2 linked regions of the Callithrix jacchus genome follow. The protein of the gene in region 1 binds, or shares a complex with, the protein of each later gene. Links are inferred from orthologs where the notes say so. Each region holds a gene or a part of one and is shown on either strand. Other genes may lie near its edges.

Evidence for each region. The genes of interacting proteins can lie anywhere in the genome.
Region 2: the proteins of MCCC1 (region 1) and MCCC2 are in contact, whole or in part, in a cryo-EM structure (PDB 8JXM), measured with the Homo sapiens proteins. The link is inferred for Callithrix jacchus from reciprocal best matches to the Homo sapiens genes MCCC1 and MCCC2. Residues at the interface, in NP_064551.3 of Homo sapiens: Glu519, Phe526, His531, Asp532, Phe534, Ser535, Pro536, Phe537, Ser538, Ser539, Ser540, Ser541, Gly542, Arg543, Arg544, Leu545, Asn546, Ile547, Tyr549, Thr550, Arg551, Tyr568, Tyr636, Leu637, Ser641, Glu644; in NP_071415.1 of Homo sapiens: Leu56, His57, Val60, Glu61, Lys64, Asp88, Ile91, Pro93, Gly94, Ser95, Pro96, Phe97, Leu98, Glu99, Gln102, Ile123, Gly124, Arg125, Gly128, Glu130, Arg234, Trp276, Leu278, His281, His282, His285, Lys298, Lys299, Leu300, Ile304.

What each region holds. Positions count from the first base shown.
Region 1 is NC_133516.1:11,354,896-11,358,638, forward strand, and holds the start of MCCC1 (methylcrotonoyl-CoA carboxylase subunit alpha, mitochondrial), read right to left. Parts: upstream 2,411-3,743; 5' UTR 2,307-2,410; coding exon 2,215-2,306; exon of another isoform or gene 1,370-2,214; intron 1-1,369.
Region 2 is NC_133503.1:139,599,345-139,603,087, forward strand, and holds the start of MCCC2 (methylcrotonoyl-CoA carboxylase beta chain, mitochondrial), read right to left. Parts: upstream 2,463-3,743; 5' UTR 2,322-2,462; coding exon 2,193-2,321; intron 1-2,192. UniProt on the Homo sapiens protein: Carboxyltransferase subunit of the 3-methylcrotonyl-CoA carboxylase, an enzyme that catalyzes the conversion of 3-methylcrotonyl-CoA to 3-methylglutaconyl-CoA, a critical step for leucine and isovaleric acid catabolism.

The DNA.
Region 1 (3,743 bases):
TACAGTGTACAATCTGGTGCTGCCATCCATGAGGGGCTGCTGGGAAGACCCACAGGTTTGGCAGGAGAGTTCCATGAGCTGCTTCCTCAGGAGGCTGCCGCTCTCCCGTTCCTTTCCAATTCAGTCGACCTTGCCTTCTTGATCTTGAAGGAGGGGGATCACTGTCCTTGATCTTTATGAGGTATTTTCTGTCACTGTCTTCCCTTCACATTCTTTAGATAGGTTTCTGATAAGTTTCAAGGCCTATTCTGAGCAGATGTATCTATTAAATGGTTGCTTCTTGGTAAAGCTAGCTTAAGAGTCTGATAAGTTTCAAGGCTACTGTTGACGTAAAGCTTTCTTTTGCTATCTTCTAGTGAAGACAGAAGGGAAAGAGAAGGAAAGAGGGAGAATGAGAGACAGAGAGAGAGAGAGATTACACTTAACTATAATCTACCCCAACAATGTTATGATTGATCATTCCATTTTTCACAATTATCTGAGCTGAAACTTAAAAACAATGGCTTAAACAAGATTAAGAAGCTGCTTCCCAGATTCAAGGTAGCTCCATACCAGCTTATTGTCATATCTATAATTCTGCCACTAGAAATTATTTTCTCTGGGCTACTAGAGATTCACAACATAAAAATAATGTAAACTATCTGTACTGATTTTTTTTTTGATTCGGGATGTCACCCAGGATGGAGTACAGTGGTGTGTGTGGCCTGGAACCCCTGGGCTCAAGCCATCCTCACCCACCTCATCCTCCCAAGTAGCTGTAACTACAAGTGTGTGCCACTACGCCTGGCTAATTTTTTAATGTTTTGTAAAGATGAGGTCTTACTATGTTGCCCAGGCTGGTCCTGAACTCACACAATCCGCCCACCTTGGATCCCAAGTGCTGGGAAAGTGCTGAGAATACAGGCATGAATGAACTCTCCTGGCCCAGAGGTTTACTTCTATAAGCCATCAACAACTCTAACGCTCTCCAGGGTGACACATACTTGAGAATAGTTCTATAAACAATAGGTAAGCTTTGAAAGGGAAGAGAGAGAGAAAATGGGTCTACCGTACTATCCTGAAGAGCCCTGCACACCTAAGAAAAGAAAAACCAGGGGAACAAAGGAACATTAACATTACTTTCACCAACTTTCTCATGTTTCTCTGGGCAGTCCTACAATTAAGTCACTAAAAAGGCCATCTACAATAATTTCTGGAAAATAAAAACAAGCAAATGTTCATGTAAATGGTTGGTTTTGCATTTATATATTGATTTTATGTACCAGATTCTGCTTAAACCTCTTTCCATGCGTTAATTTTCACAACCCAAGGTACGAGCATCATCTCCTCCAAGGTGAGGAAATTAAAGAAGAAATATTAAGTAACTTACCCAAAGTCACACACCTAGTGAGTAGCTAAGACCTCAGCCTTGACTGCAGAATCTGTGCCCTTGAACACTAAACTGTCTTTCCAGAATGATGGAGGATGATGATAACCATTAAGCCAAAGAAGACAAAGAAGCAAGCTATCTACAAGCCTGAGGGTGTTTTCGCTGCCAGAGTTACTGCCACCAAAGGTTAGAGCTCAAAATTTGAAACAAGAGGTAGAGTCAGGTGAGCTAAACTGAGTCATCCGACAGCGCTGTTCGAACCTGGGTGCGAGAGTTTCTGACAAAACAGTTCCCCAGCTCTGTGGAAGGCACACGTTCTCCTCTCGACAACTTCATTCCTCTAACAACGAGCGGGAACTCCAGGCGTCCTTCTGAGAACAGGACACCTGATGGGGCGCAGCCGAACTGGAAATGACTCGCGGGCATCCTGGTCCAGTCCTTACTAGTCGTGTTCCGCTGAGCAAGTCGCTGATCCGCGGGGGCTTCCTTGGAACGGGATGGTAACAACGTTCCCACCTAAGGGGTGCTGCGAACGCCGAGGAAAACGGCTCCGAGCTGCCGCGGCGGCGAGGGACGACTGGAGGACGGCGGGCCCCTCCTCGGAGCGGAAAACCGGAACGGCGCGCTGAGGCGTGGATGCGGGGAGGCCGGGAGAGCGCGAAGGCCGCTGCGGGGGGTCCTCCTCCTGACGCCGTGACTGCCAGCAGGACCCCGCACGAGCGGCGGGATTTTTCTTCCGTCCTCCCCACCGCGACACCCCGTCCCGCCGCACCTCCCACCGCCCACCCAGGTGCAAGCGCCCCTCGCCTCCGCCCCCGGCATGGCGCCATGGCCCCTCTACCCACCTCGGCGGCAGGAGCAGGCTCGGGAGACGCTGCCACCGGTTCCTCTCCGCCGCCGCCGCCAGCAGTGCCGACACCGCGGAGACCGCCGCCATGTCCCTGGGGCCCAGCCGCTCCGCTACTCCCCGGCACTGCGGCTGCCGCGTCCCACGCTGCAAACCCGACCCTCCGCTCCGAAGCCTCGAGAGCCCCGCCGGCCACCGTCGGAGTCTCAGCCTCGCTTTGGGCCTATCCGAGCATGTGAGGGCGTCTCCACAAACACCAATCAAAGACCAGAGTTCGGCTTCCGCAGCGACGATTGGTCAGTCTGGCCGCGTGCCCGCGGGGGTGTGGCCTTAGTTTCTGCGCCACACGGGCCTGCGCCGACTCCGGGAAGGTGTTTCCCCTTCCTCCGCCTCCTGGTTCCCTGTCACTGTTTTTTCTTGCCTCCTGCGCGGTTCCTTCACTCTTGTCAGCTTCTGGGAGACGAGCCCTGGGGGAAAAAGCCAAATGCGGATGGAGAGCAGGATACACAATTCTCTAGTGCTCTCAGGGCAGAATAAATAAATAAGCGAAATTGAAAATCTTTAAACCACCTGAGCTTAAAGCAGGTGTTCCTACTGAGTCTTGGGAAAAAGAGGAAGTCAAAGAGCAACAGGAATATCTAGAGGATAAAGATACTGCAAACACTGCAGGTGGATGCTTCGTGAGGAAAGCTGGAGGAAGAAATTAGTGAAGATGAAGGAAGAAATAAATGAATTCCGAAAGCCAGTATCAAAGGACTAATATACCCACAGGGTCACAAAAATTCATAAAATAGTTATCAAATCAGAAATAAAGAGAGAAAAACGCACGTTTGACATGATTTAAAAAACATAAGCGGGGGAAAATCACAGACGGGAAACAAATTGTAGATTTGTAAGATGCTAATTTTGCTTAATTTCAAGTAAACTTAGAACTCTGGATGGAATGAATGATGTTTCAAGAAAATACAATTTGTCAAAATCGATCCTGGAAGAGACAAAATATAAGCAAACCATTACCATAGAAAAACCAGAGAAGTTGAACAAGAGCTGCCCTTGCTACCGCCCCCCACTTCCATCTTCACCTTCACCCCCAAAAGTTACGAAAGCCCACCTTGTCCTGCAAGAAAATTCCACACAAATGAGGAGTTGACTCAAACGCTATTAATTCTCTCCCAGGGCATAAAAAAGATGGACGTGTTCCAAATTCTTTTTAAAAAGTAAACATAATTTTGATACCAAAATCAACAAAGATATCATGCACACACACACACACGACAGACCAATTTCACTTATAAATATCAATGGAAAAATTCTAAATAAAATATTAATTGCACTGGGTGCTGTGGCTCATGTCTTGTGACCCCATCACTTTGCGAGGCTGAGGTGGGAGGACTGCTTAAGCCTAGGAGTTTGATACCAGCTTAGACAACATAATGAGACCCCCATCTGTACAAAACTTTTTTAAAAAATTGGGCATGATGATGCATGCCTGTAGTCCCAGCTACTTGGGAGACTCAGGCAGGAGGA
Region 2 (3,743 bases), on another chromosome or scaffold:
GGCATGAGAACGGCATGATTAAATCAGGGCTGCTCCTTCAGCCTCAGTCCAGGAATGGGAAGACACAAACAGCAGACCCGAATCCACCCTGCAGTGGAACAGTCACAGCAGCCAACCACAAGCCACCAGCACAAATGAGTGAGAGATTAAGAAACAAATATTTGTTGTTGTAAGCTACTGAGATTTTTTAATTGTCTGTTACAAAGCACAACCTAGCAAAAGGTGATTCATACAAAACCCATCACCAAATATCCTCTCTCTCATCTGCCAAACCTCACTCCTGGTCCTAAAGACTTGTTTGTATTAATGACATTTCCACCAACCTAAATATTCTGCCCAGCTGGAAACTCCAAAGTCATCCATCTTTCCCTTCCACTCAGTTATTAACTCTGTAATTGTCGTTCCTCGGGCATCTCTAACGCCCCTACCACATACAAGTCTAATTTGACTCCTTCATCTCAAGACTCAACTCTCCACTGTCACCTAGGTCTAGTCTTTTCCCTACATCAATCCATCCTTCACACTGCCACCACACTGATGATTCTACCATATCTATAGGATCATGCCACTTATCTACTTAAATTTTCTAATGGGCAGCCTGCAAAATGGAATCTAAATGTGGCTTTTGCATGCAAGATCCTCCTCTATCTGGTCCCATAATCAATCAATCCCATCACCAAACTATTCCATGAATTCCAAGCCCTCTTGTTGCCCAGGCTGGAGTGCAATGGCGCAATCTTGGCTCACCACAACATCTGCCTCCCAGGTTCAAACGATTCTTTTGCCTCAGCCTCCTGAGTAGCTGGGATTACAGGCATGCACGACCATGCCTGGCTAATTTTGTACTTTTAATAGAGACGGGTTTATCCATATTGGTCAGGCTGGTCTTGAACTCCCAACCTCAGGTGATCCACGTAACTCGGCCTCCGGAGCTGTGTTTACAGGCGTGAGCCATTGCACCTGGCCAGATATTCACTTTCATAACTCCGTACCTATGTTCTTGTAACTCTCCTGGTTTGTATAGTCCTACTTTCCATCCTGAACCCTGAACCTGGCCAGCTCTTACCCAAGATTCATCTCACCTATTACTTCCTATCTGTAGCTTTCGTAACCACTGTCTCAAGCTTTAAACACCCCTTCTTACACTGTACCAGTTACCTGCTTTCTTGTCCATCTCCCCTACAAAATTATAAGTTCCATTCCTGCACATCTATACCAAATATCTAAATTAAGTGCCTAGACCACAGTAACCACTTAATAATTCTGAACTAGACATTCTGTCCTGTGTTGTTTGCACTATTTAGATGTTATCTGTATAGGCTTAGAAATTATGGGAACAGAATGAAATTTTCCAGCTCTGATATTTCACAAGCTTTAAGTGTTCTGGCCTTATGATGCCTCCTAATTCCAGGAAAAGCCACTCAAAGACACTGTGGGATGTTTTCTATTAACATAACCAACTTTTTTTTTTGTTTGTTTTTGAGACAGAGTTTCCCTCGTTACCCAAGCTGGAGAGCAGTGGCACAGTCTCAGCTCACTGCAACCTCTGCCTCCCGAATTGAAGCTTTTCTCCTGCCTCAGCCTCCTGAGTAGCTGGGATTACAGGCACGTACCACCACGCCCGGCTAATTTTTGTATTTTTAGTAGAGACGGGGTTTCACCCCGTTGGCCAGGGGGGGGTCTCAAACTCCTGACCTCAGGTAATCCACTCGCCAGAGCCTCCCAAAGTGCTGGGATTACAGGTGTGAGCCACCGCGCCCTGCCATCATAACCAACTTTTAAACTAAAACTTCGTAAGCACAGCGCCCCTGGTTGGGGTGTTCTAGGCCAGTGGTTCCCAAAGCTGGCTGCCAAAAGTACCCTAAGGACTTCACTACAATGAAAACACCACGACTTTATCTGAGATCCAGAAGGTCCAGAGTGGGGCTCAGGCCGCTATTTAAAGAGCTCTCCAGGTGAGAATTCTAAACCAGGCTTTAAGAACCACTGATTTCAAAGACACAAAGTACAGTGCCAGCTCTAAAAGTGAACTAAAATTTCTTTTATCTGTTAGGCTTTCCTTCTTCAAACTTCTATGGATCCCAGAATCTGGGAGACTGGGGCTCCTGAGAAGAGAGCAGCAGCTGTTGAAGCCTGCCCCTACCCACTTGCTTCCTCCACTTGCGGCCAGGCCCCCGGGGCGCTCAGCCTACCTGGTAGACGGCAGAGCCCGCGTCCGTCTGGGTGCCCAACGAGGCCACCGAGTCCCCGTGATAGGCGCGCAGCCCGGCGGTAGCGGCGCGGGCACAAGGCCACAGGGCTAACCTCCGGGCGGCCCACATGGCGGCGGGCACAGACCGAGTGAGCTAGGAGAGCGAGAAAGCGGCCCGCGCTGGCCTGGAGCCGGTGCTTTCCCCCGCCGCTTCCCTCGCTGGGGCTAGGTTCGGGTCCTTGCAGCCCTAGCGAAGGCCTCTCGGATTCTCAGGCGGGCCTGCCCCCGCACGTGCCTAAGCGCCCCGCCCGCGATTGGTCAGGTCGCGCCACGCCCCCTGAGCCAACCAATAAGGAACAGAAGCTCAGCCCCACGAGATCCCGTCCGGTCTGGAGCGCAGGAGAGCTGGGCTCCCGGCGGAACAACCCTCACGTGACCAACTGGGTGCCCCGAAACGGCGCAGTGCTGAAAGAGCTGTGGTTGGCCTTGGGTTGGTGTGTTGATACAGCGATAGATAATATCACGATGGTGACTGTATCTGAGGCAGCAGAATAAGGGTCTGGAGGCAGGGAAACTAAAGCTGTCTCACACTGACTTCATAGAGCTAAACTGAAAGGAAAACCCTAACTTTCCATGCCCAAGTAACAAAAGGATGAGAGGCTACTCCCTTTGCAAACCCCCCAACTTTTCCGCCTGGCAGATAGGAAACTGGCTGTCTGCAACAGATCAGACTGACAGAGTCTTCCTTTGCAACTTTGTAACTTAACTCCAGCCTCTGAATGGTTGCTGTCCATAACCAGTCAGACTGATTGGGGGCCCAGTCTTCCTTTGCATAGAAGTATAACTTTGTTGGCCGGGCGCGGTGGCTCACGCCTGTAATCCCAGCACTTTGGGAGGCCGAGGTGGGTGGATCACGAGGTCAAGAGATCAAAGACCATCCTGGTCAACATGGTGAAACCCCGTCTCTACTAAAATTACAAAAAATTAGCCGGGCATGGTGGCGCGCGCCTGTAATCCCAGCTACTCAGGAGGCTGAGGCAGGAGAATTGCCTGAACCCGGGAGGCGGAGGTTGCGGTGAGCCGAAATTGCGCCATTGCACTCCAGCCTGTGTAACAAGAGGGAAACTCCGTCTCAAAAAAAAAAGGATAACTTTGTAACTTCACCTCCGATTGGTTGCTTTTTGCTGTTTGCACAGGAGTGTGACCTTTGTACCTCACTTCAGCCTCTGGTTGGCTGCTTTCTACAACCAATCAGACTGATTGTGGACTACCACTTCATTTATATGATGGGAAACTTCTAGTGGGTATTTGGACCCGAGAAGATGCTGTATCCGGTCCCTTGAGCTGCTGCTCGGTCTGCTCCCACACTGTGGAGTGTAATTTCATTTTCAGTAAATCTCTGCTTTTGTTCTTTCGTTGCCTCGTTCTTTCTTTGCCTTGTGGGGCGTTTCTTCAAATTATTTATTCAAAATGTCAAAACCTGGTCAACTTGCTGTCACGACCCTCTACCGGTGACACACCAACAACATGGTTCAATCACATCTAACATGTG